Alligator mississippiensis: one gene and its partners. The protein of the gene in region 2 interacts with the protein of the main gene of each other region in a pairwise test. Links are inferred from orthologs where the notes say so. Each region holds a gene or a part of one and is shown on either strand. Other genes may lie near its edges.

The links.
Region 1: the proteins of ZCCHC10 (region 2) and PRR13 interact in binary tests that used the Homo sapiens proteins (3 or more experiments, as listed by UniProt). The two-hybrid records come from large-scale screens. The link is inferred for Alligator mississippiensis from reciprocal best matches to the Homo sapiens genes ZCCHC10 and PRR13.
Region 3: the proteins of ZCCHC10 (region 2) and THAP1 interact in binary tests that used the Homo sapiens proteins (3 or more experiments, as listed by UniProt). The two-hybrid records come from large-scale screens. The link is inferred for Alligator mississippiensis from reciprocal best matches to the Homo sapiens genes ZCCHC10 and THAP1.
Region 4: the proteins of ZCCHC10 (region 2) and TFCP2 interact in binary tests that used the Homo sapiens proteins (3 or more experiments, as listed by UniProt). The two-hybrid records come from large-scale screens. The link is inferred for Alligator mississippiensis from reciprocal best matches to the Homo sapiens genes ZCCHC10 and TFCP2.

The regions. Positions count from the first base shown.
Region 1 is NC_081838.1:8,754,816-8,761,885, forward strand, and holds PRR13 (proline-rich protein 13), read right to left. Parts: upstream 2,372-7,070; 5' UTR 2,184-2,371; coding exon 2,165-2,183; intron 2,062-2,164; coding exon 1,661-2,061; intron 1,405-1,660; coding exon 1,366-1,404; 3' UTR 789-1,365; downstream 1-788. Other genes in the region: AMHR2 (anti-Muellerian hormone type-2 receptor), read right to left, coding at 3,828-3,956, 4,052-4,188, 4,626-4,773, 5,581-5,741, 5,890-6,004, 6,595-6,822. UniProt on the Homo sapiens protein: Negatively regulates TSP1 expression at the level of transcription. This down-regulation was shown to reduce taxane-induced apoptosis.
Region 2 is NC_081832.1:66,931,054-66,939,140, forward strand, and holds the start of ZCCHC10 (zinc finger CCHC domain-containing protein 10), read left to right. Parts: upstream 1-4,689; 5' UTR 4,690-4,737; coding exon 4,738-4,820; intron 4,821-8,087.
Region 3 is NC_081826.1:155,713,734-155,722,259, forward strand, and holds the start of THAP1 (THAP domain-containing protein 1), read right to left. Parts: upstream 3,403-8,526; 5' UTR 2,330-3,402; coding exon of another isoform or gene 2,269-2,329; coding exon 2,198-2,268; intron 1,526-2,197; coding exon 1,330-1,525; intron 1-1,329. Other genes in the region: transcription factor JunD-like, read left to right, coding at 6,711-7,880. UniProt on the Homo sapiens protein: DNA-binding transcription regulator that regulates endothelial cell proliferation and G1/S cell-cycle progression.
Region 4 is NC_081838.1:10,252,241-10,260,014, reverse strand, and holds the start of TFCP2 (alpha-globin transcription factor CP2), read right to left. Parts: upstream 3,321-7,774; 5' UTR 3,125-3,320; coding exon 3,003-3,124; intron 1-3,002.

The DNA of each region.
Region 1 (7,070 bases), on a different chromosome or scaffold from region 2:
GCAAGACTGCTGGTCCTATCCAGCCCCCACTCAGCGGGTCCTCAGGGGCCGGCACCAGGCAGTGCCCTGCTCGGCCAGCCTGTTTTTGGCCTCCTGAGAAGCCCCTCAACCCGGATGTCATGGATGTACCTGGCTCAGGGGTCTGGATGCCACTGGGGAGACCCAACCTGTGGATATGGCCACGCTCAGCAGTGCAGGGCTTTGTACAACACCTTGCACTCACGGACCACAGGGCTCCTCTCCTCTCCCGGACTCCTGCAGCTGGCGCTCCCCGTCCTACCCTGTGCAGTGGGTATGGCTGCAGCCCGGCCTCTGCGGCCAACGCCAGCCCCCACCCCAGAAGAGCTGCATGTTCCTGCTGAAATAAATTAGCAGGTGAGGGCCAGCAGTGGGCAGAGCAGGCACCTCCCAACCCCACCTGACAGCGGGGTCACAGCCCCTCCTGGGTTACACCAGCGGCAGGTTGGCCTTGCGGGTACCTGGGTCTGGCCCCACCACCTGCCCGCCTCCTTGCTGCAGCCCGAGCTCAGTTGGGCTGGATCTGCTCCTTTCCCCGGCTCACGGGACTCCAGGTGCTGGGGATTTCAAGGCAAAGCCAGTGCTCCAGAATAGGACAGTCGCATGCACCAGGAGGTGCTGATCCCACAACACAGCCCAGCCCACAGCGGGGGTCCGGTGCACCCCATGGGTCAGGGGCTCCGCTGACCATGAGCCCCCCCGGCCCTGGACACTGGCTACAAAGGATTCTGGGAAGCCACCGGCGCCACAGAGGGTCTGATACCAGTGGGGGGGTTGAAACCAAGAGGCTTTATTGAAAGGCGAGTGCAAGGCAAGCGCTGCGGAGCCCGGAGGGAGCTCGCGCCCCCACCCAGTCGCCCCCAGTGCAGGTCTGGGGCTGAGGACCAGGCAGGGCCTTGTCCTGCCCAGTCCTGACCGTGAGGTAGGCAGCGTCCAGGCTGCACTAGATCACAAGAGCGAGCCTGGGATTGGTCAATTCCCCCCACTGGGACCCCTAAAAAGATCCCCTTGGCCAATCCATAACACCCCCCTCCCCCAGCATCAAAGCAGCCAATCGGGTGAAGCTACACAGTGCAGGGAGGAAGGGATTGGCTGGGGGAGGGGGGGGTCTGGATTTCCTTCTGGCTTGTGAGCAGGCCCCAGGTTGCTGAGGCCACCAGGGATTGAGTGGATCACCCCAGATCCCGGCCGGATCCTGGCTCTGGTGCCTGGCGCCTGCTTTTAGCCCTGATCCCAGCGCGGCAGGGCCTCGGCCTGGGGCCTCAGGGAGTGGGATGATCCAGGGGCTTGGCTTCCGCAGGCGGGCAAAGGTTGCATCTCCTGGCAAGCTGCGGCGGGCGGGCGGGCTCAGTCGGAGGAGCTGCTGGAGGATGAGGAGGAGGAGCGCTGCGGGGAGGAAGAACCCGGGCGTGAGGCTCATGGGCGGGAAGGCCAGGCCCCACTGTGCCCTGGGCGCTCCCATGGGCATGCAAGGGGGCAGGGGGGAGAAACCCCTGGCGGCAGCTGGGCTGAGACCCCTCCAACTCCGTTCACGAGACACCCCACCGCCCGGCTGGGCTGGACCCAGCGTTTAGGAAGAGGCAGCTCCCCCACCCCGTGGGGGTCAATCCCAGGCTGGGTTGGCCCCAGGACCCCCCCTCACCTTCCCGTGCAGCTTGTGTGGCTTGTGCCCCTTGTGCGCCTTCTTCATCTTCTTCTTCATCTTCTTCGCCGCCTTCTTATCCAGCGCAGGGGCCCCGGGCACCAGGGGGGCGACAATGCCCATCCCCGCCGGCACCCCGGGGCACATCGGGGGGTAAGGGCCCCCGGGGTAGGGGGGAGGCACTGGCTGGCCTGGCAGGTAGGGGGGCTGGCCGGGGCCGGGGGGCATGGGGTAGGAGCTGGGGGGCATCGGGCCCTGGGGGTAGGTGGGATTTGGCCCCAGGGGGGGAGCTGGGATGGATCCCGGGGGGTAAGCGGGGTTTGGCCCCGGGGGGTAAGCCGGGTTTGGCCCCGGGGGGTAGGCGGGGCCCGATCCGGGGGGGTAGGCGGGGCCGGGCTGGCCTGCAAGGGAAGCAGAGCTGCAGTGAGCGTGCAAGGGGCGATCGGGGCCACCGCCCGCTGCCCCGCGCCCGGCCCCGGCCCCGGCCCCGGCCCGGCCTCCCACCTGCGCTGGGGTCCCACATGGCCGCAGCAGAGCGCTACCGCCGTCGCCTCCGCACCGGGACAGGGAGCGGCCTCCGCCCCCCCGCAGGGCCCGCCCCCGGGGTGTTAAAGGGGCAGGAGCCGCCGGCCCCGCTCCGGCAGCGCCGTCCAATGGTTAGAGCGGCTCCAGGGGCGGGGGGGATCGCCGCGACGTGCGGGCTTTAGTGGGGGGGGAGCTCGGACACCCGGGGTCAGCCGCGCCCCGGCGAGGAGCCGCCCCCGCCTGCCCGGTCCCCGGGCTCCGCACCGCCTGCCTCAGTTTCCCCCAGGGTCCATCGCCACCTGCCTCAGTTTACCACGGAGTCCGCACCGCCTGCCTCAGTTTCCCCTGGTGTCCTCCCCCGCCTGCCTCAGTTTCCCCTGGTGTCCACCCCGCCTGCCTCAGTTTCCCCTGTTGCCCCCCCCCGCCTGCCTCAGTTTCCCCTGGTGTCCTCCCCCGCCTGCCTCAGTTTCCCCTGGTGTCCACCCCGCCTGCCTCAGTTTCCCCTGTTGCCCCCCCCCGCCTGCCTCAGTTTCCCCTGGTGTCCTCCCCCGCCTGCCTCAGTTTCCCCTGGTGTCCTCCCCCGCCTGCCTCAGCTTCCCCTGGTGTCCGCCACTGCCTGCTTCAGTTTCCCCTGGTGTCCCCCCTTCCTGCCTGTTTCCCCCAGGGTCTGCCCCCCCCGCCTCAGGTTCCCCTGGTGTCCTCCCCCGCCTGCCTCAGTTTCCCCTGGTGTCCTCCCCCGCCTGCCTGTTTCCCCTGGGGTCTGCCCCCGCCTGCCTCAGTTTCCCCTGGTATCCGCCGCTGCCTGCCTCAGTTTCCCCTGGTGTCCCCCCTGCCTGCCTGTTTCCCCTGGGGTCTGCCCCCGCCTGCCTGTTTCCCCCGGGATCTGCCCCCGCCTGCCTCAGTTTCCCCTGGGGTCCTCCCCCGCCTGCCCCAGTTTCCCCTGGTGTCCCCCCCGCCTGCCTGTTTCCCCTGGGGTCCTCCCCCGCCTGCCCCAGTTTCCCCTGGGGTCCTCCCCCGCCTGCCTGTTTCCCCTGGTGTCCCCCCCGCCTGCCTCAGTTTCCCCTGGGGTCCTCCCCCGCCTGCCCCAGTTTCCCCTGGGGTCCTCCCCTGCCTGCCTTTTTCCCCGGTATCCGCCGCTGCCTGCCTCAGTTTCCCCTGGTGTCCCCCCCGCCTGCCTCAGTTTCCCCTGGTGTCTGCCCCCACCTGCCTCAGTTTCCCCCCGGGGTCCACACTGCCTGCCTCAGTTTCCCCGGTCTCTGCTCCCGCCTGCCTCAGCTTCCCTTGGGGGCCCTGGCAGTTTCCCCTGCCAGGCCTGGGGGGCGCAGGGGGCAACACCAGGCCCTGCCCGGCTCATCTGAGCACCAATGAATTCATTGCTCCCGACAGCGCTGGGGCCACTGGGTCTCTGCAGGTGCCCACTCGGGGGGCTCCAACCCGGGTGCTGGGGCCCGGGGGCAGTCTCAGCCCTTCATTCAAGCTGGGGCACTCGCTGGGTGACTTGATCACACACTTTTATTAGCAAAGGCGCGTCGGGGATGAAACCCGGAGCCTTCAGCTTGCTCCGGTCATTGCCGCCGTCCTCAAGGTGGCAAGGATGAGCAGTGAAAAGGGAACTGGAAATAAGGAACCGCGCCCGGCTGGCTCAGGGCCCCCCTAAGGGAGGCTCCGGCCCCAGCTGCTGCAGGCGCTGGTGGGCGCACTTGGCCGTCAGCCGGGCCTCGGGGTCGGGGTCCCAGCAGTCCTCCAGCAGCTCCTGCAGGCAGCCGGGGACCTGGCAGAGGAGAGGGGGGCATCAGGGGCCTCCCTGGGTCTCAACCTTGCAATGGGGGGGTGTAGCCCCTGTACCCCCCCCCTTGTTCCCCTTACCCCTCTGGTGCCCATCCAGGCCTGGGGGATGGCTGGCCTCCGCTGCTGCTCCACCGCCAGCCTCCGCAGCGCCATGGGGCTGGGGCTGCTGCCCAGCTCCGCCTCGTAGGCCAGCCGAAACTCAGGGACGCTGCAGCCTGGGGGGGCACAGCCAAGGGAAGGAGCCGATTCTCCCACCAGCCCCACCCTGGGCACTGTACGTACCCCCTGAGATCTGCTAATGTCACAGTCCACTTCATTACGGGCATGGCCTAGGTGCTCGGGGAGTGGGGGGGCACGATGCTATGTAAAGCAGCCCTGGGGCTGCCCAGCCCTAGATGACCCCCAGGCTGGGCAATGCCCCCTGCTCCCAACTCAGGGGCTCCTCCCCCTCCCCCCCCGCAGTCTCACTGTCCTGTGCCCCCCACCCCCACTGGTCCTGACTGCACCCCCCGGGCTGGGGGGGCAAGGGGTGAGTCTGGGTGCTGTTCCCCTGGTGCCTGTCCCCACCTGCCTCAGTTTCCCCTGGTGTCCCCAGTTTCCTCTGGGGCCTGTGCCCCGGTGCAAATTGGAGGCTTGAACCCGGGGCCCTCACCTGGGAAGAGCGCAGGGCAGCGCATGAGGATCTCCCAGAGCACCAGGGCAAACGCATAGACGTCGGCCTGCTTCAGCGCGCAGCCCCAGCGCCGCAGGTCCAGGCTCTCGTCCAGGATCTCGGGGGCCATGTATCGCTGTGTCCCCAGCTGCCGGAGCACGCGCGCATGAGCGCACACATGCACTGGGCTCTCATGAGCACATACACTTGTAAGTGCCGGGATGTGTGTATATAAGTGTCTGGGCATGCCAGTCTCTTGTGAGTGCGCACGCATGTGAGATCATGCACATACGGGCTGTCATGCACACACGCAGGTTCTCGTGAGCACATGTGCACGTGAGTGCACACACACATGCGTCAGGCTCTCATGAGCGTGTACACATGTAAGTGCATGGACATGCCAGGCTCTCATGAGCACATGCAGATATGAGCACACGCACGTGTCAGGCTCTCGTGAACACATGCACATCCCAGGCACTTGCGAGCACATGCATACATGAGCACATGCACAAGTGAGTACACACACTCATGAGCACATGCACACACAAGTACGCGCACACACACTAGCCACATGCTCAAGAATACAGACCCACACGTCTCAGCCACTTACCCATGCACATGCCCAGCCCCACACACATGGCATGCCCACATTTGGACATGGCTGGGTTGAAAGTTGCACACACAAGTACCAGCCTGGCACACCCCAGTAACAAGGCTCATACGCACCAGGGGTCACTTCTGGTGCATCCTGGGGCCAGGACTCACATGCAGCTCTACCCCGGCTGTGAGGCTGGCACATGCAAGTATCCATGTGTGCACATGCCTGGGCTGAGATTTGCACCCACTGGTGCCCATGTTTGCAGCTCTGGATCACAGCTTGCACGCACTAGTGCTATGGCTTGCACGTGGGCTCCTCCCTGTCCCACCCCCCCGGCCCCTCTGCCAGCCCCGGTACCTTCCTGATGGCGGTGGGCGAGCGGTCCCTGGGCCAGGCCTCGGGGCTGGTGGGCAGCACTATAGCCAGCCCAAAGTCGGCGATGGTGCAGGCCCCGTCGTCCCGCACCAGCACATTCTGGCTGCTCAGGTCCCGGTGGGCCACGCTTGGCTTGTATAACCCTGGGGCGTGCAGGGGAATGGGGGGGGGGGGGTGGTGAGTGGGGTGCCAGAAGTCCCCCACCCAGGGGAAGGGGGGCATGGCAGAGACCCCCCAGGTCAGCCAAGCTCGGTGCATGGGGGCTGGGCAGGCAGGTGGAGGGGGTCTCACCATCGCGCCACAGCTCATCATGGAGGAAGGCCAGGCCGCAGGCCAGCGACAGCGCCAGGCGCACGGTGCCCTCCCAGGGGCTGGCATGTTGACCCAGGAAGTACCGCAGGGAGCCCTGCGGATGGACAGATGGACGGGGGTGGATGGACCCCTCTTGCTCCTAGCCTCCAGGGACTGGCAGGGCCTGGGACCCCCCTCTGTTCTCTGTCACTTCCCCCCTGCCTGCTCGCCCGCCCTGTCTGCCCCATACGAAGCTCTCAGGTCCGACAGAGCCCCCCACCCGGAGACACCCCTGCTCCCCCCACCTTCCGTGTGCTGAAGGAGGAACCCAGGAGTCCCAGCATCAAAGCCCATGCTCTAACCACTGCCTCTGCTCCCACCCTAGATGGGATGAGAACCCAGGTGTCCTGGCTTCAAGCCTCCTGCTCTGGCCATGAGGCCCTGTCCCCTCCAAGCCAGGTGTCCTGGCTCCCAGGTGCCTAGAGGCCTCCAGCCCCCTGCTATGCAGCCTGGCCCCCCACACCTGCTGACCCCCGCATCCCGCCCCTGCAACCCCAGCCTTGCCCCCAACCCCCTGTACTGAGCTCTCATCTGCACGATGGATGGATGGGACAGACCCAGGCCACCAACCCTAGGTCCCAAGAGCTGCCCCCCTGCTCCAACACCCCATACAACCCAAATACCAGCCTTGAGGCTGCGACTCACTTGGGCATAGAGCGGCATGACCAGCAGCCCACCTCGCCTACTGGGCCCGTCCCCCCGCCTGGCCTCCAGGAGCTGGACCAGGTTGTCATGGTTCATGAGAGGCCGGCTCAGGACACCCCACTCAGCTGCGAAGTGCTGGTCACTAGCGGCAGGGAAGGCCTTGATCACCACGGGCACCCCCCGCAGGGAGCCACGCCACACCATTGAGAAGCGCCCGGTCTGCAGGACCTGTGGGCACAGACCCCGTCTAATCCAGGGCACTGCTGGGGGAAAGCTTTCAGCACTAGGGGTTAGGCTAGGGCATTGGTCAGGGGAAGCTCCCAGCACCGGTCCCAAGCCAGGACACTGCTGAGGGAGGGGAAGCTCACAGCACTAGGGGCCAGGACAGGGCACTGCTGTAGGGGAAGCTCCCAGAGCCAGGGTGTAAGTCAGGGAACTGCTATGGGGAAGCTCACAGCGCTGGGGGCCAGTCCAGG
Region 2 (8,087 bases):
TCTTCCCTCTATATGCCAAGGATCTTCTGGAAGTAGCACTAGTGATGGCATTCTAGGCTTTTCAGGTGATCCCTTTAGGTCACCCAACCTTCACAGCTATGGTTTTGGCATGGAGGCAGAAGAGATTGAAAAGGTTCCCATCCATTCTGTAGTCAATGACCCTAATGACCTAAGAGCAACACTGTTGGGAGCCCAGTATTTCTGGTAGGGTCACCCATGGCACTAAGGTCAAAGGTGAGGTATCAGATGAAGAGCAGACCACCACAACACAAAGACCTCAATGGTGGAGTAGCTGGATGCAGAAGACATACTTCTCAACAGTTGTGAAGGTGGATGAACGTTGCAATAGAGGAGTAATCTCAGTTGTCTTGGATCCCCTTGCCACTGCACACAGATTTCTCCTTTGCCAAGATTCATGTGGTTGACGATGCGGAATGGCACCTCACATAAAACATGTCATGTGCAGGCTTTTCCCAAGGGTGCAACACGTACTAAAATTCCCCTCCACAGACTACCACCTTGACAGAGTGGAGAGGCTTGTGTGTACTGGTGAGTGACCCTCTCCTTTCCCCATTCCCCTGCTGGGATATGCCCACCTATTATATTTTGTCTTGGAGCAGGAACTCTACTATTTCTTGGGTGAATACCACCAAAGCATTTGTAAGGCTATTTTCAACCCCCCTATAAACACATAATTAACACATTTCTAAGAATTATATGAACACATATTTCAGTAGATACAATTAGCATATAAACACTTAAAATAAGTGACAATGATCATGTTATATAGATGATCTTTTTTAATTAAAGTCTGGATGTGAATTGCTCCTAGGATACTGGTGTTAAAGTTGTCCTATATAGGATTATAAAAACAATCTTTTTAGATGTTTTAAATTCAATTTCTAATGTCACCTGAGCCTTTTATTTCATGAGACAGCAATGTTTTCCAAAATGACAATTTCAAGGCAAATGTAGGGAGCCAGATTCTCTGTTTCATTAAAGTTAAGTTAAGGGCAACTTTAACCTATGTCAGCTGGCATTGGTTCCCAAAAGACTGCCTGCTAGCTGAGCACAATTGGAAAGGGGTGAACTCCTGCTCTCCATCTCTCCTTGCCTCCTATCCTGTGCCAGAGACTATATGGAGGCAGTATGAGAGCCAATAGTGCCAGCTGCTGCCGGAATAGCTGAAGAATCCACTCCCTAGGCCACATGAAGTGGAGCAAAGAATGTTCCTCGTGATTCCCAGGCGTACCAGCATTGTATTTATTTACAAACCATTACAGAACTTGGTTTATACAGGGACATATGCCATATTGGTACTTAATAGCCTCACTCTTTGCAAAGATTTTATATATATATATTAGTGAACCATGATCTTGGCTTCATATTTAAGTCTGAGTTTATCTTTTCTATTGAAGTGATGTATTCTTTTCTGTTACTGAGGTGCATAAAATTGGGCCTGATACCAATTAAGAGCTGGAATAAGTGGAAAACATCCAAGTAAATACCAGAATTGTGAAGGAGTGAAATGAGTCCTTTCTGTAAGATGGGGACTATCTAATATATCTTTGGATCTGACAGTTTTAATACCACTTCAGACTTTCCACATGGTCACATCTCCTTGACAGCTCAGGTACATGCTTGCTTATAATTCTTATTAACTACTTATGTGAAGAAACCAGGGTGTAGTTATTATCAAATTGTTATACTTACAGTGGTAATGGACTGTAATGTTGTAGCATAAACTACAGTTCCCATAAGGCTGTTGGGGAAGAAAGGAAGCAAAGGAGAGCTAGGACTGCAGTGAAACAGCTTGGGAAAGGCAGCAGCTGGAGAGACTCATGGCAGAGGCTAAAAGCAGTAGCAAAGCTGAATCTGCAAGCCACCACAGCCAGGCTCAGGAGTAGAGCTTGGGGAGACAGTAGTGTTCTGTGGGAGCAAAGACTGGTTTGCAGCTCCCTCTGGAGTTGAGGGAGGGTCTAAAGCAGGGATTGGCAATCCCTGGCACATGTGCATCATGAAGGCATTTTGCTTGGCATGTGTACCTCGGGGCAGACAGCAGGGAAGGGGCCAGAGCTGCACTGCCACAACAAGGATAAGGTCCCTTGCAGCTGCCCTTCTGTCAGCTTGGAGACGCACATGCACCCACCACCAGCCATAAGCTAGACTGGGGCTCTGCAGGCCTCAGTACAACAGCTTGCAACTTTGCAGTTGCCTGCTGCAAGCAGCCCAGGCTCCATGGCGGGTGGCAGGAGCCTGCTCAGAACCCAGATTGGCTGTGGCAAGCAGCTGGGAGACTGCAAGTCGCTGCACAGAGGTCTGTGGAGCCCTGGCCTGGCTTGTTGCTGGCGGTGGGTGCATGCATGCCTCCAGACGGACAGCAGGGAAAGGGATGGGGCTGTGAGGCCACAACTAGGATCAGGCCCCTCACATCTCCCTTGCTGCCCGTCTCTGGTATGCTAACATCTTAGAAGCTGAAGTTGGGGTCTTTTTGCCATGCTTCCCAAAAATGTTACTGACTCCTGGTCTGAAATTTCTTCAGCATATATACAATGTTGTTAATGTTCCCTATCTGTTACCTTGCTATCTGCCCCTGAATGGTTTCACAGCTAAGTCACTGTTTGTTACCTGCTATGTATATCCTGAATATTTACCCTAATGTGTATCCACCTGTGGTTTTCTCCATCTCTTTAGCCCATTGGCCTGTGACCCTAAGCCCCAGCATCACCTATATAAAACTGAAACCCCTCCATTTTGGCTTCCTGTTTCAATTTCTGGGGCTCTGGAATTCAGTACACAGTCAAGCTCTTGTCAATACCTCAAGTCATTGCTAAGTGGTGGCATGTGACATCAGAAGTAACTCACACCATATCTTTCTCTCCATATCATTTATCTTGTGCAATTCTATCAGTTGAGATTCATTATAGAACAAAAGGCCTGTATGTGTTAAGAGATCTTAGTGGATTCTCTTCACACACAAACAAAAGGAAACAGATTGGCTCAGGTAGTTGCATAAATCTTTCCATTTGTTTACATGTAAGTTAAAATATGACCAATCTAAGAAAACCTTGTAAATGAAGGACAAGTATTTTTTTGTCTGAAATATAATATGCGAGTCTGAGTGTACTTGCACACCAATCATTCATAGCTATAAAGCCTGGTAGGATAAAAAAAACCTATAAGTATAAAAAAACCCTAATTTAATACAAAAAATGTTATCTCCATCAATATATAAAAAGGCAACCAAGCTCTCAATTCAAAATGTTCAATGGTCAGCTCCATGTTCTGCAAACTCCTTAAAGTGTCTTTGATCCACTAATAACAAATCTTACAGCAAAAGGAATGAGTCTGAAAGTGCTTGATTGCATAAGTAATAGTTTGCAGGGCTGTTCTTCTGTTGGGGATTTTTTTTGACAATGTATGGAAACTCTTGCTGCGTCAGCACTAGTGTGCTGAATGGCTCAGACAAATCCATTTGGTAACACCCTGTAGATCCTATAATTGTGATTGTTTCAAAGTCATCTGAGATTGCAAGTCATTGTCCTTTCTGTTCAGAGTTAGTTTCCTTGTTCTCTGTGATCAAAGTAGGTATTATAAGCACTGCATGGAGATGTTTATGAGAACAAAAACTAATTTTTCTTGACTGACATTTTTTTGACTTGTTAAAACACATTTTTTCTCCTCATGCATACAAACCTTCACACTTGAGTCCAAAATGAGTTCACAGCATCCTTTAAAAAAGTTAACTCAAGATATACTTTTTAAATATCATAAAAGAAAAGGATTTGAGATTAAACAGTCCCCTTGTTAGCACCACTCCTGTGCATCACGCCGTAACAACCTACCGAGACAGAACAAATCTCCTTTAGAACATTTTTGACCACCTCTAATATTGTACAGTTTCGGCCCTAAAGCTGAGTGGAGCCCTGCCACCGCGCAGAGCTGCAGGGGGCAGTGGAGACTTCACAGGTCTGACCACAAAGATGTAGGTTTGGCGTCTTCCTGAGGTGCATGCAGCCTGCCCGCCACTCGCTGCACCAGACCTCCGCTACCTCTCAGCTTTGGGGGAAGGGACTCAAGTCCTATTTGCATCTCAGATCCCATTTTTGCTTTTCAGAGCAGCTGACGTCCTCCCCGCTCCTCTTATTCCATGACAAATTCTTATAAGTTTTGACCCCGAGTCAAAAAGACACTGAAATGCTACTGTCGGCGTGATGCAGACAGGTACAGATACGAAGTGCAAACAGCGAGACCTCTTGGTTCAGCAATGATACCAATGATAGTTGGTACCAGACCAGCGATATACAGAATGCTACTTTTGCGATTCCCTAGTTGGTCTATCTAATACAAGGCATCATTGGTGTATCAAGAGATCTAGATGTTTGCCTTTCCTTTTGTCTCAGACCAACACGGCTACCAAACCAAATTCACCCCAGTACAGATCCAGCACTTGGCCTCAAGCCCTTGCTCTAGCACAGCCGCAGCAACAACCCCGGCTTGTGCGGCCAGTACCCCCTGAAACTCACTATGACGTCATGCCAGCGCTGGCTGTGCCCGCCTCGGGTGAGGGCTTGTTTCAGCCCCGCCCCCCGGCCAACATGGCGGCGGGGAGGAGTAGAGAGGAGGCGGGGACCGTCCCGGCGCGCGGCCTCTCTAGCCCGCTGGCGGCTCACGCTCGGTGGCAGCCGCCCGGCAGTCCCCCAATGGGGACGGAGGAGGAGGGCGGAATTGCCCGGCATGCCGCGCGCTGGGTCCATCACTTCCCGCCCAGGGGCTAAGATGGCGACTCCCATGCACCGACTCATCGCTCGGCGGCAGGCGTGAGTGCGCGGGGCAGGGACGGGGCCCGAGGGGCGGCGGGATCCCCCGGCCCGAGGGCTTCGCCCCGACCCTCTGTACATCGGGGCGGGGGTGGTGAAGTGGTCCCGGGGCCTGGAGCTGACATATCAGAGCTGGGGAAGGAGTGGGTTCAGGTGACGCCCGGGCTGGCTCTCAGGCGCCCCCTCCCCCTTTTACTCTTCCCCTCCCCCTTTAAGGTGCCGTGCTTGTTTGTTTGGACACAAGCATCAGCCCTGGAGGGTGGTGGCTGACAGCACCAGGCTGCTCAGGGCTGAAATCCGAGGAGGTGTCAGTCGGGTTAGGATTGTGCTGCTTGTTGCTAAGGTCAGGGGGGTAATTAAGGTCCAAGAGGGAGGCCTTGATGAGGGTTTGGCACTCCCGCCCTTCCTGGGAGGACGCACCTGACGAGTCCATGGTTTGCCAAACCCGTGCTGGGGACGTAAGACACGCTCCTGTTTTCACGTTGAAAAGGGCAAGGGTTTCTGAGGCTGAGATTTTTGTATTAGACTGACAGGGTTCCCACCAAGTTGAAAAAGGCACCTTGCACTCGTAGAGAAGCACAAAGATAAAGTTTAAATGTCCACTGAAAATCGTGCCGATCACGTTGCAGTACCTTGCTCACAGTAGCGTACAGGTTTCCCTCCCCAACCACGGTTTTGAGTATCCATGCTTAATATGCTATATACCATTTTGGCTACCATGGTATACAGTTTTGAGTAACCGTGGCTTTCCACGGCCGTGTGTCAGCCCGCCACCTGCCATTTTTCTCATAACCTTTTTGTCTTGCCAACCATGGGAACTTCCAGGAACCCAACCCCAGCAGCTGGTGAAGGAAACCTGCATTTCAAAATGGTTTTGGTGTTTGCTAAAGGGAAAAGAAAAAAAAAAAAAGCTAAACTTCGGCTATGTAAATAGAGGAAATGTATCATAATTTACATAGGATTTCACTGTAGTGTTTAGGAGTCCATTCCTGGGGGGTCACTTTTATATATTTTTGGTGTTGTAGGGTCTGGATAGTGTGATAGCATTTGTTGCATTTGCATCTTATTGTTAAGTTTACATTTGGATTTCCCCCACTTCTTTTTAATTGGAAAATTACAATTCTTAACTGTCTCTGTAATAGTTATCTTAATTTCCTCTTTATTTTTGGCTTGGGACATAGTTTCTTTCCTTCAACTCATCCTTTCACATGCTGTTCATGAGTGCTTTTTGTATTGTGCTCTGTGTCTTCCCAGTTTTCAGTTAGTTTGTGGTTGTTGATCTAGTGCTTGGTAAGAGTTTTGCTAGGTCTTGTGCACTTGTGTGGGAGCTTTTTACTGTTAGGGCTGGGTTTAGAAATGTGTATGGCCATCTTACTATGTTTGATCAGTCCTTCTCAGCAATTAGTATATTGTTCTCAAGTCTTGATCCTATAATTGCATAGTGTGTGGAATTATTTCTGGATCAGAAGATGAGTGGCCTTGAAAGATGGCATGTTACTATGTTGACATTTGATTATATTACCTTGTCCTCTAGTGAATACAGATATGTGCTGGTTTGACACTTGACACCAATAGTTGAATATTTGTGTTTGTATGTAGTTTGAGAGGCCATATCCTTCTAATTCTGCTCTTGTAGAGTAATTGTGGCAGAAGCACAAGTCTGTAGCCACTAGAAACTCCTTAGTATTTTGGTGTCGATTTGTTGTGACTCTTTCCCTTGTAACGCTTCTAAACCAGCACAAATTCTAATGTAGATGCTTTATAATGAGCTTGTTCAATTAGTAGCTAACGATTCCATCATTAGCTATTAGTAGCTAATGATACCATGTGGATAGTTGCTGAAGTTACTTATTTAAAAAAACAAAACCCTACCTTCTGTGAGTAAAAACTGAGACGTAGTTTGTCACAAAATAATCCCAGAAATTGACAGCGTTTTTTGGGTACCATATGTAACTGGTTACACTCAAAATGATGGGTAAGGTGTAAACTGTTCTTTGGTTGCATGGTGAAAGGAGAGACGCAAAGAAATTACAAAGAGCCATTTGAAGACTATAAAAAACACCTGCAACTTTTGCCCCTTTTGAAATATATACTGAAAATGTGCTCAGCTAATCTGATGATGTTTGAAATGCTTGATACTTTTTAGTTTGCTTAGTGAATGGCATTAATTCAGATAGTTTTAAGGGTGCTTTCAAATACTGAACTGTTTTGTAACTCTTACACTTAACATTTTGAAACATGATGGATTTAATGGCAATTTGAGTGTGTGTTTTTAGTATCTAAACTAAGGAAGTTTGAATGATTTTGACAGTGTGAGAACTGTTCTGTAGAGACCCAAGCCAACTGCCAGCTGTCATATTTGCTTCTGAGGTAAAAATACCATGTTAATTTAGAGAGGATTTTTTTTTCTTTTCCTTGGTGGAGGTAGAACAAATACAAGGCACCAAAACTTAAAATCACAGAAGCAGAAAATTAGGGTTGGAAGGGACCTCAGGAGGTCATCTAGTCCAACCCACTGCTCAAAGCAGGACCAGCCCCCACTATATCATCCCGGCCAAGGCTTTGTCTATCTGGGTCTTAAAAACCTCCAAGGATGGAGAGTCCACAACCTTTACAGGTAACCTGTTCCAGTGTTTTACTACCCTCCTAGTGAGAGAGTTCATCCTGATAATCTTAACCTAAACTTCCCTTGCTGCAACTTGAGACCATGGCTCCTTGATCTGTCATCTGCCACCACTGAGAATAGTTCAACTCCATCCTCTTTTGAACCACCCTTTAGGTAGCTGAAGGCTGCTATTACATTTCCACTCAGTCTTGTCTTCTCTAGACTAAATAAACTCAGTTCCCTCCGTCTTTCCTCAGAAGTCATGTCCCTCAGCCCCCTCACCATTTTTGAAATTCTTAGCTGTTTTTCCGATTCAGTCAGCTCAGTCTAAAGGTCAAGTTTCCTGCTATTCCTGAAAATGTTATATTTGGTTGTAAATCAATATGTTTTAATGATTATATCAACTAATGACAATGAAGTCTTCCATATTAAAATAACTATAAAGTACAAATAAAAAGCAGGATTAAAACTACTTTAAACCATGTATGTCTGCTTGATTTAAATCAGTCCACCATTTTGTTTTGCATAGTAAGAAAACCAAATTGCTGTTACCTTCTATTTAAAAAAAAAAAATAAAACAAACAAACAAAAATATATATAGTGGAAATCTGTCCCTAGAAGAGTGGCTGAGAGCATTTTTTAAACAAAATGGCTTTTTGTCA
Region 3 (8,526 bases), on a different chromosome or scaffold from region 2:
ATCTGCATTTTCCATTTCCCATGGAAAAACCATGGATGTCCCATTTTTATTAGAGAAAACACGGATTTTCCCTTTTAGAAGAGAAACCCATGGATTTCTCCCTTTTGCAAAGAGCTCTGTAGGCTGCCTGAGTTCCAGCCTGCAAGAGCTGTCTGCAAAAGGGGTGGGAAACCCTCAACCCTGCCCGGAGGGGAAGGGAGAGGGGCAAGGGCAGGTCCTGACATCAAGTCTTACCAGAGGCTGCTTCAGGCTCACTATTCTTGCTGGAGGTAAGTGGAGCTTGGGGGTTGCACGACAAGGCTGGGGGGGAAAGCTGGGTAGGGGCTGAGGGAACAGGGAGGTTTGCAGCCAGCTGGGCACTCCGGCTGGGGTGAAGTTTGCAGCCTCCCCACTCCTGGCCAGAGTGCTTGGCCAGCTGCAAACTGGAGTGCCCAGTCGACTGCAAACCTCCACACTCCCTCAGCCCCCAGCTAGGTACTCCCTAGCCAGGAGGTGAGGTTTGCAGCTGGCCAGGCACTCCGACCGGGAGCAGGGAGACTGAACACGCCCCTCCCTACCCCAGCTGGAGTGCCGGCCAGCTGCAGACTGAGTGTCAGAAATGCTGTGCTCCCTACCCTGCTTCCCTCCCCCAGGCCCTCCGGAGCGCAGCGTGTGCAACTGGCACGGCAGGGCACAGTAGGGCCACACAAGAAAGCTGCCTGCTGCTGCAAGCTCCATTCTGCCCTGGCCACACTTCCTCTGTGTACATGGGGGCAGCGCAGACCCGCCCTGTCCCCACCCCCCACAGATCTGGGGGGCATGGGTCCCCCCTGGCTCCCAGGACTGCACGCTGCCATGGGGAGCTAGCCCTGCCCAAGGCAGGCAGGCAGCAGTGGGGGGAGCTGGCTCATGCTCCTACTGTAGCAACTGCTGCCTTCCGCTGGGGGCTGTGGACCTGGGTCCCTGGCCCCATAGCCCTAGCAGCTGTGGGCTCTTCCAGCAGGGCTGTGGGACAGGGGCACAAGCAGGACTGGGGGACAGGAGTGAGAGACACCAGCAGGGCTGTGGGGGGGATGTGGAGGGCATTTAATTTTAACCACAGATTTTGGGATTTTTATCAGAGAATTTACAATTTATCAGAGAATTGGGGGGGGGTTATAATGGAAAACCAGGATCCCTGCTTATAAGTTGACCAAAACTATGATCATGCACAGGGAACAGTCTCCTTCCCACAGTTCTCCTTCTTGAGGTTAAAAAAAAAAAAAAAAAAAAAAAAAAAAAGCATGCATTATATATCTACATATGTAAATTTGTGTCAGTCACTCCTTAAAGAGGAGTTTTCATGGTTACCTTTTCACTGGGTTCAGTGTAACAGAATATTGTGGGCACGGCGTTCTCTTTCAGGAGCTTATTGTTACACTCCCTTTTAAAGCAATCAGGAGTGAAGTGTTCTGAGCAAATGCTGCTGTACTTTGTTGGCTTGAAATTTTTCCTTTTCACAGCGGTTTCCCATTTCTTACAGAGATCAGGCCTTGTGAGAGGAAACCTGCAACCAAGAGGCACTGTCAGCTTCCTGTTGGGACTCTCGTTACATGCGAGCATGGCAGCACATGTTGGACACTACTATGTGCGCCGCCACTACTTGACTCGCCGGCCAGCCGCTTGTCCCAGCAGCTGGCTCCAGGCACCAACAGGGGACATCAATTGGGCCACATGCTGGGCCTCGTTTGAGGCACATGGATTTCAGAGACCTAAATGCAGGCGTGCATAGGTATTCATGACACGCAGGCTACCACCACCTGCCAAAGAGCACCAGAGGGTAGGCTAGAGATGCACCTCTATAGACTAACGGCATCAGATATACATACACACATCCATAGGCACGTGCACATATGTACATACATACAGACATGTATATAGACATGCATATACGCATGCATGTGTAGGCAGAAGTTGACTCGCCTGACCATAGTGCATGGGTGGGGTCACACTCCCCCCCACCTTGTGGCCGAGAGGCATGCTTAGTGCGGCTGCCAGGGGCCGCCCAACACCCCTCACGCGAGGTCCGTCCCGCCTCCACGTGGGGCTGCGCGCGCACCCGAGGCTCCTGGAGGTGACAGGCCCCGCCCCCAACCGCCGCCGCGCGCCCCCTCCCCCCGGCCACCGGGCGCGCGCGGAGCTGCGCACTGGCCCCGCCCCCCGCACCGCTCGCGCTCACTTGTGGAAGGAAATGGGCTTCTCTTTGTCGTATCGGTTCCGGCAGCGGTAGGCAGAGCAGGACTGCACCATCCTGTCGCCCCGGGGCCGCCCGTGCCGGCGATGCTTCGGCCCGGGGGCGCGGCGGACGCATAGGCCCCGCTAGCTCAGTGCCCGGCGCCCATCCCCCCTCAGCGACCCCCTAGGAGCGACATAAACAGGACGCGGCCTCTCCCAACTCCAAGATGGCGGCGCCAGCTTCAAGGAAACTCTCGCGAGAGCTCCCAGTCGCATTTCTCCATTGGTTCTTTCCTCGCGCGTGGGCGGGACCTTTCCGATCTCCCAGCCAGTAGCAGCAGAGGCTCAGAGAGGACGCTGGCTGTAATGGCCCCGCCCCCTGCCTATAGCGGGACCCTGCCCCCACGCGTCCGGCTCGCGCCTCTCGGCCTCTGCCCCGCCCCGCCCCGCCCCGCCCCGCGGGGGGGGCAGCCGTGCACGTGGAGCGCGAGCGGGTGCCTTATTGTCGAGCGTCGCATTCCTGCCCTGGTGGTAGCTGCTGCCCAGCTGCTCCTAGCTCGCCGATCTGAGTGCTGCAGCTTACGCGGGAAGGGGGACACTAGCTCCTTCCTACGGTCAGCTGGTAAAGGAGGGCACGGGGCTGCACTGCAATGACATGTTCTGCGATGAGCTGCAGGGCACACAGTGGAGATGCTTCCGCGTGTGAATTGGGAGTAGGCTTTGAGTATTGCTGTCCTAGAGCGAGGTGGGTGCGAGCCTCGAAAGCCCCGGGCGTGTTGCAGGGGCGGGCTCCTGCGAGGAGACCCGGCTGCAGGGAGTAAAACTGGATATTCTCACCGAAGTATTGCCCTGGGTTTTGGGGGAGATGTTCCCTTCGGGCTTCAAGTGAAGGGTCAGTTTTTCAAGCCTTGACTTCCACAGTTTCCAGGGATTGTCATTCTGGCTTGACTGAATACAGGTAGTCCTCGACTTTGAGATGTTTGGAGTTGCAACGAATGGCACTTACGTTTATAAATTGACACTTTCCACTTTCTGACATCAGTTTCAACTTTACAACACTTGATTCAACCCCACGCGAGCAAAAAAGTTTGCTGCATCGCCCATCTCCCTGGAGAACATCTGTCCAAACTTCCCTGGACATTTTCTTTAACAAAGCAGACAAGACACCAGAAAAACCTGCAGCCAGGACTCCTGAGAAGACTCCAGCCAAGCGCCCTTCAAAAAGTCCAAGCAAAGTCACCTCAAATAAGTTCTTCCAAATCAATATGATTGCTGTTTACAATATAAACACATTAATGTAGCTACATTATTCATCTATAATTGATTGAGTACAAAATTCTGGGTTATTTTGGGTGAAAATAGGGTATCAGGCCTTGGTTCAGGAACTGATCCCCCATTTATAACATTGTTTCCTATGGGAAAATTAGTTCCGAGTTACCATGTTTCGACTTAAGACGCTTTTTTCAGGAACCAATTGTGTCCTAAGTCTGAGGACTGCCTGTACTCTACAAAATCTGGGCACTACTTTAAAAAATAACAACTTGTGACAATATTAGTATACTGTACTATTGAAATTGGGAATGTGAAGAACCTATGTGTCTATTCCATTCACCCAACAGCAACTCAAGAACAAATTTCAGCAGACCCCAGTAACAAATCTAAATAAGATAGACAACATGGTTTAAAATAAGCATCTCTGTTGTTTTTATTGGGGGGAGGTCTCTGCTCTTTCATTGGTGGGATTCCCACTCCAACAGCTTAGATCTTCAGATTGTGGTGGGAAGCATTTTTAATGTAGCAATGACCAGCAGTAGCTTGTTAGGATGAATGGCAGAGGTCCATCTCTAATGCCCTCTGCGGAAGGAAAATTCAGCTACTTCCTAGCCCAGGATTTACTTGTAAGGGTCTGTCTCAAATCAGCTCTGTCTGTGATACAACTCTTCCCTGTTGAGGAGGTAACTAGTAGTTTTCTGGGACAGCCCTGCCACACCTGCTGGGCTTTAAGAGACTGGTGATGTGACTTAGTGCCTCCCACTTTATGTAGATGGAACGTGGTAGCCTGCTTGTTTGGACCTGGACTACCTTTTGGGATACCAGTTCTCATTGTGTCTATAGGCTCACCCTCTTTCTCCAGAATATCAATACGATTGATCTTTCAGGAGAAACTAACGTCCTTGGTAACGTAATTTGATGTGTATCCTCAAAATTCTTCCATAACCCACTGTTTCTTTTCCCCACAAAACCTGCATCTTCCCTGCCGTAAGCACCAGTTTCCCTAAAGCCCCACAATCTCCCTGGTCTCTGCCAGACCTGTTTTCTTCTGTTTTCCTTTGCACTTTTCTCTATCAAGCCTCCAATTCTCTAATCCTGTATTTCTTGAAAGTCCCCCAGCCAATTCTTGCTGGTCTTTCTGCTTCCCTAGATATCTGCTTTCCAGGTACCACTCCAAGGTGTCCCCACCTCGCAGTGCCTTTCCTAATATCCCTTTTCCCCTACATTTTCTCAGAAACTCACAATGACCCTCCTTACTCCAGCCCCCTCAAGCTCTCATTTCTCTGTTAATACCTGTCATACTTCCTGTTTCTCAAGGTCTCTCATCCTCTTTCTATTCTGAGTCTCATTTAGCTACCCTTCCCTAGAGTACTCCCTAAGATGAGCTACAAAGGGTGATACCCAGCTGCTGCCCAGCATTAAGGCAGACTACTGCAGGTAGCAGGAGGCTGGGGTATAACATGCTGACCCAAACTACTGCTGCTGACTAGAAAATTTTTCCTCAGACTCTTTGACTCTTGCAGCCCCTAAAGGAATGCTCCTTTATGTAATGTTGGGTGAAGAGGAAAACCATTTGGCAAGTCAGGCAGAGGGCTCCTTGCTTGTCAGCCTCTTCCCTTCCAGTTGATTTTGGAGCAGAGCCAGGAGGCACAGCACCATAGCCCAATACCACTGAGCAGCATGCAGGTGAGCATGAGCAATGTGGGTGCAGACAGGCTGAGCAGGCGGGTGCCTGGGCAGAAAGGGAGCCTGGTCCTGAGACAATGAGTGAAAGTGTCCAAGGGTAGTGATGGATGACTTTTTGGCCCTGTGGGTCAGATGAGTGGCCTGAAGCTGGTCTGTGGGCGAGATGCCTTGCAGTGTTGATGCCAAGGTCAGGCTCCAGTGCCCAGTGCCAGCCTAGCCCTGTGCACCTGATCTAGCACACAGAACCACACTATCCAGCCTGCAGGCTCCCCACATGTCCCAGGAATTTGGCAGCAGGGGAGCAACAGTTAATGCTGCCACTACTACCAAATTTCCAAACCCCTGGGAAGCCCTGGCTCCAAGGGCCAGAGCCAGTTGAACACCCCTGTGTTGGGAGAAAGGATGAACAGATGTCCTGGGGGGGGGGGGGGGGTCTTGTGACAGGAGAACAGGTGGAGAACTCACAGGGAGCACTGCTCTATTATTTGTGGATTAGTTATAGCACGCCCTGATGGTCACTCACTCAGTGAGCTAAAGGGAACACGTCAAGATGAGCTGTCACCTTTAACATGATGGCTTTAAGCATGAACACTGCCTGCCCCTGGAGGCATGGTGAGCTCCCAGAGGTGGTGGGGAGGAGGGTGGCAAGTGCCAACCAGTGGTCGGCAACTACCTGCAGACACTGGTGGCAGCGGCCAGTGGCAATTGTGGATTGCCCGCAGACGCCACCGGCAGCGTCGGTGGCAAGGAAGGGTGGCGAGTGGCAGCCAACACTATCTGTGGCACCTTTTGTCGGGGTGCACCACCACCCTCGGGGTGTATGTGCACCTGTGTGCACCCCCTACGTGTTGCCAATGGCTTTGAAATCCCTGAACAAGACTCTGTCAGCAGAACTCGACAGAATCCAGCTGTCCCACCCAGCAGTTACCTGGGGGCTCCGCTTCGTGTGTCCCCAGTGAGGACAAAAGGCCAGAGTCTCCAAATGTTGGGAGCTGAAAAACAAAACTGTTGAAGTTTGAAAACGCCCAGATGGGGCAGTCCAACCAGCTGCAGTCAGAAACATTTGTAAAAGAACCCCCTCCCCCCAAAACAAAACTCACAAACCTGCATTTTCTCACAGGAAAAAAACCCATCACTGAGAAGTTTCTTAACCCACTCCCCACAGGTGAAGGCTTGCCAAAGGTTTCCGGGCCTGGCCCGAGCAAGCTGAGCCCCGGGCGCCCTCGGGCGGGGGCAGCGCGCTCGCTTCCTCCTTCCAGGCCCCGTCGCCCCTCCGCTCGCCTTCCTCGTGTGCCGCGGGCGCCAAGCCAGCTCTCTCCTGGGCTCGCCGAGGCGGCGGGGTGGGTGCCGCCGACGCGGCAGACGCGGAGCCGCGTGCGAGGGCCGGGCCCGGCGCCGCCCCGCCCCTGCCGGGGCTCTCGCTGCCGCCCGCCAGCCCCGCGCAGGCGGCTCCGGCTCCGCTGGCCCCGCGCGCCGGGCCGAGGCGACCCGCCCCGCGGCCGAGCGCACAGCCCCGGCCCCGGCCCCCGCGGGGGGTCGGGGTCCCTTCAGCGGCCACGATGAGCGGCGGCGGCGGGAGGGCGGGCGTGAAGATGGAGGCGCCCTTCTACCCCGAGGAGGGGCTGGAGCTGCTGCCCGACTTCGTGCCGCTGCACGGCTTCGGCGCCGGCGGCCCGGGCGCGGAGGCGGCGGCCGCGCACAAGCTGCTGCTGGGCGCTGGGAAGAAGCGGGACCTGGCTGCCGCCTCCCCCGCGCCGCTGCCGGGGCCCTTCGCGCTGCGGCCGGCCGGGGCCGGGGTCGGAGCCCGCTCCGCCGCTGCCCTGCGCCTGCTCCCCGCCGCCGCCCCCCCGCCGGGCGCGGGGCCCCGGGGCGGCCCGGAGGCGGCGCTGGTGGCGCCGGGCGCCCCGGCCGAGCTGCCCCTGCTCAAGCTGCCGCCCGCCGCCGACCTGGAGCAGCTGCTGATCCAAGGCGCCGGCCCCGCCAGCCCCGGCCCCACCGCCGCCGCCGCGGGGCCCTTCCTGTACCGGCAGCAGGTGACGCAGGAGCAGGAGGGCTTCGTGGACGGGTTCGTGAAGGCGCTGGCCGACCTGCACAAGCAGAACCAACTGCTGGGCGCGCCGCTGTCGCCGCCCGGGCCCTGCTGCGCCGCGCGGCCCGCGCCGCCTCCCCCCGCCGCCGCCGCCGCCGACCCGCCCGCCGTCTACACCAACCTCGGCAGCTACAACCCCGCCGGGCCGCTCAGCCCCTCAGGCGGCTCCTACCCGCCCGCGCCGCCCGGCCTGCCCTTCTCGCCGGCGCTGGCCGGGGCCGGGAGGCTGCCGGCGCGGGCCCCGGAGGAGCCGCAGACCGTGCCTGAGGTGCAGGCGCCGCCGGCCGAGGCGGGGGGCGCGGGGACGCCGCCGCCACTGTCGCCGCTGGACGCCGAGAGCCAGGAGCGGCTGAAGGCGGAGCGCAAGCGGCTGCGGAACCGCATCGCGGCCTCCAAGTGCCGGCGCCGCAAGCTGGAGCGCATCGCGCGGCTGGAGGAGAAGGTGAAGGCGCTGAAGGGGCAGAACGCGGAGCTGGCCGCCACCGCCAGCCTCCTGCGCGCCCAGGTCAGCCAGCTGCAGGGCCGCGTCCGCAGCCACCTCTCCAGCGGCTGCCACATCAACGCCTCCGCCTCAGCGCCTCCCGCCGAGGGCCCCGCCGAGCCCGCCGCCGCCGCCGCGCCCGAGACCAGCGCCTGCTGAGGGGCCCGAGCCAGGACGAGAAAGACCCGGCCCGGCCCGGCTGCCCACAGCAGCGGGAGCCCCCCGGGGAGAGCTGTCCGCTCCTCGCCCCACGCCTTTCGGGGCGCGGGGAGGCCCTGGGCGCAGAGGTTAGGAGGGGCTGTTGACAAAAGAGCTGTTCGGGACCTAGGCTGAAGGTTGCTGCTTATTTATTGATGCCTGGAAAGGAAGGACGCTGGGCTCTAGACGTCTTGTTAAGGTATATTTATGTTGCACTAGCACAAGGCTGTTTTGTACCGCGGGTGTTTCACTCCGTGAGCCAACTTCCAGGGAGGATCCTGCATTGCAAAGGAAGGGTCTTTGTGTGGAGGGGGGCTCGCTTTCTTTCTTTCTTTCTTAGAAAAAAAAGAGTTTTATTGAAGAACGGGAGAAATCTGCAGAGATTTCAGGACTAAAGGCGTTCCTGTTTACAAAAGAAATTCAACTTTATTTCCCTGCAGATATGCTGCCTCAAGAAATAGGCTATGGTGATTTAATATGTTCATTCAGAGCTTGGGAAAGCCAGATTCGTACTTTTTTCTTTCCAAAAGTGTGTGTGTATGTGTGTAGATCTGTATGATCTGGCAATGTCTCTCTCCCTCCCCTCGGTATTGATTTAAGAATTTTT
Region 4 (7,774 bases), on a different chromosome or scaffold from region 2:
AGGCACTTTGAAGAGGAGACAGGCATAGGGTTGCACTGCAAGTCAGCAGCCCAAGCCAATAACAGAGCCCTGGTCTCTTCCCTCTGCTCCCATCAGCTCCACAGACCTGTCCCCTTCCTGGGTGCTGGGACAGGGAGCAGTGGGAGTAGTCTCTTCCAGAAGCCCCATCACATAAAGTAGCTTTCCCTGTTTCCTTCTTCTGCCCCTCAAGCCTCAACTGGAGTCATCTTCTCTCTTTTACTGCTCTTCCTCCAAGCACTGAAGAACAGCAGGCAGCTCAGGTTGCAAGAGTCTGGACAAGCTGATATAACTGAAGGGTTAGTTAGGACTTGGACCTTTTCCTCAAGCATCACAAGCCAAACAGAGAAGCTGGAATCCCCCCACCAATATCAGTCTCTAACTGCTTCTTGGGGCAGGAAACCGATCTCTGTAGCACTTGGCTCAGCAGAGCCCAGATTCTTAACAGGGGTCCCTACGCCTACAAGCCTTGGCCATGGGTCAGAGGCCAGCATGTGAGATGCTACAGTCACAGGGCAGAGAGACAGTCAGAAATAAGTGGGAGAAGCCTTAATTATCCCTGGCACCAGTTTAAATGAGGGATCATGCCCATATAATAAAGAGCTGCCATTTCACACTGCCTGTCCCTCATGGAGAGGGAAAGAAACAGGAAATACCGCTGCTCTATGCTCCCTGTTGACTGGAGAGTGCGGGAAAGGCCAACGCACTGCATGTAAAGCATTAGCGCCTTGGGAACGGTGGCATCCACCCCCGGGAAATGTCATGGTGGGAAAAAGCGATATCCACCACAGACTTTCCCTCTGGGGATGGTTATCACTACAGCCCAGTCAAGACCGGGAAGGCTCCCAACAGCTTGTCCAGAGGAGGGTCTCACTGGGGAATGCCCCCCTGCCCCTCCAGTCTCATCTGCCCTTAATCCCCCAGAGCCCACGCTTACCTCTTGTGCCCCTCACTTACACAAAACTGGGGGTTTAACCACACTCAGCTGCCCCCGTGCTCACAATTATCTCACGGTGAGCAAGTGCTAAACCCAGTAATGTGGCCCTGTTTTATTTGGGGACAACTAGTTTAGGCCTCACCATGGGACAAGGCTGGGGGCAGGGAGGTAACACGGAGCGGCCAAGTTGCGGTAAATTCTCCGTGAACGACGGACACGTGAACAGCAATAACTGCATGAATGGAGTTGCATGGAATTACGTGACTGTGAGGGCAAAAAAAGGTTAGGGCTGTCTCCTCCACCCATGCCTCCGCTGCCATCTTAGCATGAATGACTCAGATCTGCTCCTCCAGCCCTGACCCATCTCATCTTGGCCCATATCTCAGACATCTCTATGTCAGCACCAGCTTTCTGTGGCTGAACTCCGGATCCTGCCCCCACCACTGCTTCCAGAGCCTTCTCATCACTCGGGTGTGTAATCAAGGAGTCATCTCGGACTTCCCCCTCCCTTTATTTCAAGCAAGTTTTATTCTGATTTCACCTCAGCTGGGCAGGAACTGTTGTGAGCAAACCAAAGTGCAAACCGACTGGATCTTCCCTTCAACACAACTCCCCCGCTGGCTCCCCACGCCATTCCAACGCAAGGTATAGTTCAAGCAGCCGATTCCCCCTACCTGCAAGGCCCTGCTTCCTCTCTATTCCCCCTCACTGCCACATGCTCCTTCCCAAGCCAAAGTCAGTCTCATGCGGCCCTCCTTCTGCATTCCCCCTCACGCCTGGCGACTCTGAGCTCTCACCCCCTCTTCTCAAGTAGATCCCCACACGCTTTGCAGGGCAAGTGCTGCTTCCCTGACCTGCTACCTGGTCTCCTTGATCCCTTTCCTGGAAGCCAGAAGATCCACAGGAAACAAGCAAGCTGGAGGGAAACAGGTGGCACTTTCTATTAGTTGGGGTAGTGGTGGAAGGGAATTATCAATACGTACGAGCCATAAAAATCGCACCTACTGGCTATTTATCGCTCCCCCTGACTCTGCCTATGCCCCGCACCTTCTCGGACTACAAGCGTGACTGTCACCATCCTGCACCAAACCAAGGGTCTCCAGTGCTGAAAGCCTGTGCCGCTGGGACCAGAGGAGAGCATGCCCTGGATGGGTCAGCAACACATACAACTCTTTTGACGCACACCTCTCCCAGTACGGCACCTATCACACAAAGGCCCCAAACACTGGTGACCACAAAACAAGCACGAATTACGCACTTTATCACCCTTCGGCAACGACTCGAACTCCTCCCTAACCCACAGCGCGGGGAGGCCAGGTCTGAAGCTAAGGTCTGCATTCAAATCATAGCACAGCACTCAAAAGGGGCTTCTTCACTTCCCCCTCTCCCAGGGGCAACTCATTAGGGCAGGATGACGCTTCCAGGTGGACTCGTTGATGTGGCATCAGCCGCTCTGCATGGGATCAGCAGCCCAGCGGATGCCTGGGAATTAAGGAGCCTCCACGTCCCCTCAGCCCAGCTCCGTCACCTGTCTCCAGCTGTGGCCAAATCCCTGCTGCTTCCAGAGGCAGCACCAGGAGAGACAGACGGAGTCCAGTTCCCGGCTCTCAGGTTTACGCAACGCCGAAGCAGGCGGCACCGTTACACCACTTTGCCTTCGGACAAATTACTCACCCAGGTTGTTAAAAACCCTGGAGTCTCCCACACCAGCCTCGTGCCGAGGGCAGCGCAGGGCTTCCCGGCGCCGGGTCCCAGTTCTAGGTCTGTGCAGCGCTGGAGTATCCTAAATTGACCTCCCTTTCCTTTCGCTTGGGAGGAGGGAGGAGCAGGTCCAACTGCCCTCGAGGGGTGCCAATAAACGCCGGGCACCAGGCAGAGGAGAAGGAGTCACCTACCACGCGGCAACGGGATACGGCGCTCGCGCCCACGCAGCTCAGCCACGAGTCACTGGCACCCACGGACGCGCCCCGCGCCCTCCCACGACGCCCCGCCACGCGCCAGTCCCCAACGGGGCTCCCTTCGCAGCGCCGCGGGGCGGTCTCCCTACCTCATGCTGTAGGCCCCGGCGCCCAGCTCCTGCCCGATGCCCGAGAGGCTGGCATCGAAATCCTGCACCAGCCCCGACTCGATCACCTCGTCCGCCAGCGGCAGCTTCAGGGCCCACGCCATCCTGGCCGCTCCGGGGGGTCAGCGCACAGCGAGCCCCCACGGGGCCGGCCACCCCGCAGACGCCCCCCTAGTCCCAAGGCACGTGACCCGGGGGGGGGGGGACCCCGGCCCCACCGCTACCACCACCCCTGAGGGCGTTCCGGGGGCGCTGTCCTGCCCAACAAGCGGGGCTCCCAGCACCCCAGCCTTGCTCCCGCCCCGCCCCGCCCCGCCCCTGCAAGGGATATTAGCCCCCCGGCACCCCCCACCCCCACGGATTTTAACCCCTCACACCCCGTCACCCTCAGGGGACGTTAACCCCTCGCACCCTGAGGCCCAGTCTTTCCTCCCAGGAAATTTAACCCCTCACACCCCCCCTCCTAGGGAAGTTAACCCCTCACACCCCACGGCCCAGTCTTTCCTCCCATGGAAATTAACCCCTCGCACCCCAGGGCCCAATTCCCTTCCTACCACAAGCCCGGCCCCCGGAGCGCCCGTTCCCCGCGAGGCCCCGGGCGCAGCTCGGCGCCCCCGGCGGCCCCCGCAATATGGAGGCGGCAGCGTCGCGGACCCCCCACGCCAGCCCGGCCGGGAACACGCCCCGCCCCCGTCTTCCGCCCGCGGCCAATGGCGACGCCCCTGGCCGCCCGACGCGCACGCGGCGCCGGCCAATCGCCGCTCCTCTGGGGGCCGCGGCCCGGGGGAGCCGCGCCGCGATTGGCTACGAGCGCGGGGCGGGGCGGGGCCGGCGGGGTGACGGGACTCGGCGTGGTGGGGACCAGGTTCGGCCTCCTCCCCCCTCCCTTGGAGCCGCGAGTTCGAGTCCGGCCCCGCCCCGGGGTGTTAACCCTTCACGCGCCTGGCCGCAGCGGGAGGGCATTGCCAACCTGTGCACGTGCAGATGCTGCCCGTGTGCAGTGCGCATCCCTCCCTTTGTGGCTGCCTGTCTCCCAGCACCCAAAAAGCTCCCCCCCCCTTACAGAATTAAACCCTGATGATTTGGGGATTAAAAAAACAGGCCTGATCTCTGCCTCCCTCCTGCCTGGAGAGCACCGGTCCGTGCAACCCTCCTTCCCGCCAGCCTCGAAAATCATCCGGGCTCCTAAATTTAGCAAGCTCTGAATTTTTTTTTTTTTTTTTTTTTGGGGGGGGGGGGGGGTCATTTTTCTCACCACCTTGCAAAAAGGATGTGGACCAGGATGCCATCTGGTGGCGAACCCTGCTCTGCAGTCCCAGCCCGACCTGGGGGTGGGGGGTCCAGTCTGGCCTGGGGGGCGCAGCAGGTGTCTGGGTGCGCGCGGGATGCTTCGGCAGCGCCGGCCGCTGCGGGGCACGCGGCGCCCGGCATCGGGTCCCTGAAAGCCGAAGACAGTCGTGGAAACAGATGGAAATAGTTTTCAGATCACCGTTTTATCCCAGCGGGGCCGCGAGTTGGGTGCACTTTTGCAAATCTACCACTGCCGCCAGCCAGCACATCTGGATCCAAGTCAATAACCCAGCACGTCCAGATCCTGCTCCAGATCGACCGCCCGGCACATCTGGATCCTGCTCCAGATTGACTGCCAGCACATCTGGATCCTGCTCCAAATCCACCACCCGGCACATCTGGATCCTGCTCCAAGTCAAACAAGCGGCACATTTGGATCCTGCTCTGGACCGACCACCCGGCACATCTGGATCCTGCTCCGGATCCACCATCTGGCACATCTGGATCCTGCTTCAAGTCAAACAACCAGCACATCTGGATCCTGCTCCAAGTCTACCATCCAGCACATCTGGATCCTGCTCCAAGTCGAACAACTGGCACATCTGGATCCTGCTTCAGATCGACCGCCCAGCACATCTGGATCCTGCTCCAGATCCATCATCTGGCACATCTGGATCCTGCTCCAAGTCGAACAACCGGTACATCTGGATCCTGCTCCAAATCCACTGCCCGGCACATCTGGATCCTGCCCCAAGTCTACCAGCTTGCACACCTGGATCCTGCTCCAAATACACCACCTAGCACATCTGGATCCCGCTCCAGATCCACTATCTGGCACATCTGGATCCTGCTCCAAGTCAAACAACTGGCACATCTGGATCCTGCTCCAAGTCGAAGAATTGGCACATCTGGATCCTGCCCCAAGTCTACCAGCTTGCACACCTGGATCCTGCCCTAAGTCTACCACCTTGCACATCTGGATCCCGCTCCACATCCACCACCCAGCACATCTGGATCCTGCCCCTTGTGAGGCCTTTTGGGGCTCTCTAGTGCCTTTTGGCAGAAGCAGCCATGCTTCCCGAGGTCATATTTAGATCACCAGAGGTTTTAATACGAAGCGGTGCCTGTCCCTTGCAAGAGTTATGCTGGGGGGGGGGGAGGGGGGGGAATAGGAAGATAATAGAGAGGAGGGAATCTACCCAGGGTTCACTGAACCCACTGGCTTCCTGGAGGACTCCTTGACCAGGCCAGGAGGATCTGGGATGAGCTGAGCTGAGAATCCCTCCCTCCTGGCCTGAGCCCACTGCTTCACCATGGCAGAAGCAGGGAATGCTGCTCCAGGATGGCCATTCATAGTTTCATAGATGTTAGGGTCAGAAGGGACCTGAGCAGCTCATCAAGTCTGACCCCCTGCCATGGGCAGGAAAGAGTAGTGGGGTCAAATGACCCCAGCTAGGTGATTATCCAGCCTCCTTTTGAAGACCCCCAGGGTAGGAGCCAGCACCACTTCCCTTGGAAGTTGGTTCCAGATCCTAGCCACCCTAACTGTGAAGTAGCGCCTGAACCTGAACCTACTTTCAATCAACTTATGGCGATTATTCCTTGTTACTCCCGGTACTGCTCGGGGGAGCAGGGACTCTCCATTGCCTGCTGGTCCCCCTTGGCCAGTTTGTAGATGTCCTCCAGATCCCCTCTCAGCCTTCTCTTGTGAAGGCTGAACAGGTTCAGGTCCCTTAACCTCTCCTTGTAGGGCCTGCCCTGCCGCCCCCTGATCATGCGGGTGGCCCTCCTCTGGACCCTATTAATGCTGGCCACATCCCTTCTGAAGTGCGGCGACCAGAACTGGACACAATACTCCAACTGCGGCCTGATCAGTGCTGTGTAGAGGGGGAGGATCACCTCCTTGGACCTGCTCGAGATGCATCTGTGGATGCATGACAAGGTGTGGTTGGCCTTCCTGACCACGTCCCCACACTGTCAGCCCATGTTCATTTTGGCATCAATAATGACTCCAAGATCCTTTTCTGCCTCTGCACTGATGAGAAGGGAGTTCCCCAGCCTGTAGGTATGCCGCTGGTTCTTCCCCCCCCAGGTGCAGCACCTTGCACTTGTCAGTGTTGAACCCCATCCTGTTCTCATCCACCCACCCCTGTAATTTGTCTAGATCTAGTTGTAGCCTGTCCCTCTCCTCCAGCATGCCCACTTCTCCCCATGTTAGTGTCATTGCCTTGTGCGCCCCGTTCCTGCCCCCCTTCTCACCCTGCCCAAAACCCATTCACTGACCATACAAACTTCAGGCAGATTCTCACCAATTAAAGACAAGGGGGGGGTTGAAAAAAGAAAAATACTGTTTATTTCACATGACTACATCAAGTGCATTAGTCTGACATGGCCATGGCAGCGAGAACCATCGGCCAGACCTCTGGTGGCCCCCCACCTCTCCCCACAGCTCATAAAATCCAACAGTACCTCTCCAACGTGGCATTACATGGGAGCGAGGGGGCCCAGCGTGCCCAGCAAGGGTGATCCAGGTGTGGGAGCCCAGGAGAACAGGGGCTTGGATGCAGGCAATAACACAGCAGGTTCTGATGACGCGGTATACACCCTCCCTGGGGTACAGACAATATGAAAGTGTTAGTGCCCCCAGCCTTCTCCCTCCTTCATCACCTGCACAGCACCAAACACTTCCTTGAACAGCCCAAGCTTCTCATGTTTGTTAGGGGGTTATTCAATCCTAACTCACCAATTTGGCCTCTTCCAAGAAGTGGTGCATCCTGACAAATACTCACCTCTCCACTTTCTCTGGGCAGATCCAAGTATTTCCCCTGGATTGGAGGCTCTTCTACAGGCAAGGACAAGCATTGGGGTGTTGCTGGAAGACCCCAGGTGGTATATGCCTCATAGCCATGCTAGCTGCCCGGTGCGAGGCTTGATTGGCTGGTCTTGCCCTAAGAGCTGCATCCCCAGCTCAGCACAGGGAACAGAGCAAGGCATCCATCAAAGCCAGCTTGCCAAGCAAGGAGAAATCCTTGAGGAACAGAAATCCCCCAATTTCCTTAGGCATAGTCAGAGACATGCAGACACTGTTGCCCAACAAAGATGCATTAAATCAGACATGCTGATGATCTCCCCAGTCCGCAGCCCAGCTCAACACAGCCTGAAGGCATTTCTACTTATGGTAGCACCAAGCCAGAGCATTTCTGCTTATGGTAACACCAGCCTCCTCCATGCTAGAGCAGAGACCTTGTCTCTGCTGTCATGATAGGGGTATGGCTCAGGGAAAGGACTCTTGAGATTTCCACTGGCAGAATGATTTGCCCTGAATTTCCTTGTGATTCAATATTCAGCCTGACAACCATAGCCACCATCCACGTCCTAGGTTGGAGAGGGGCTGGTGGGATCTTCTGCTGCCGGAAGACCCCACCTCTAAAGCACATGCCTTTCAATGTCTCCTCCTTGAGGAC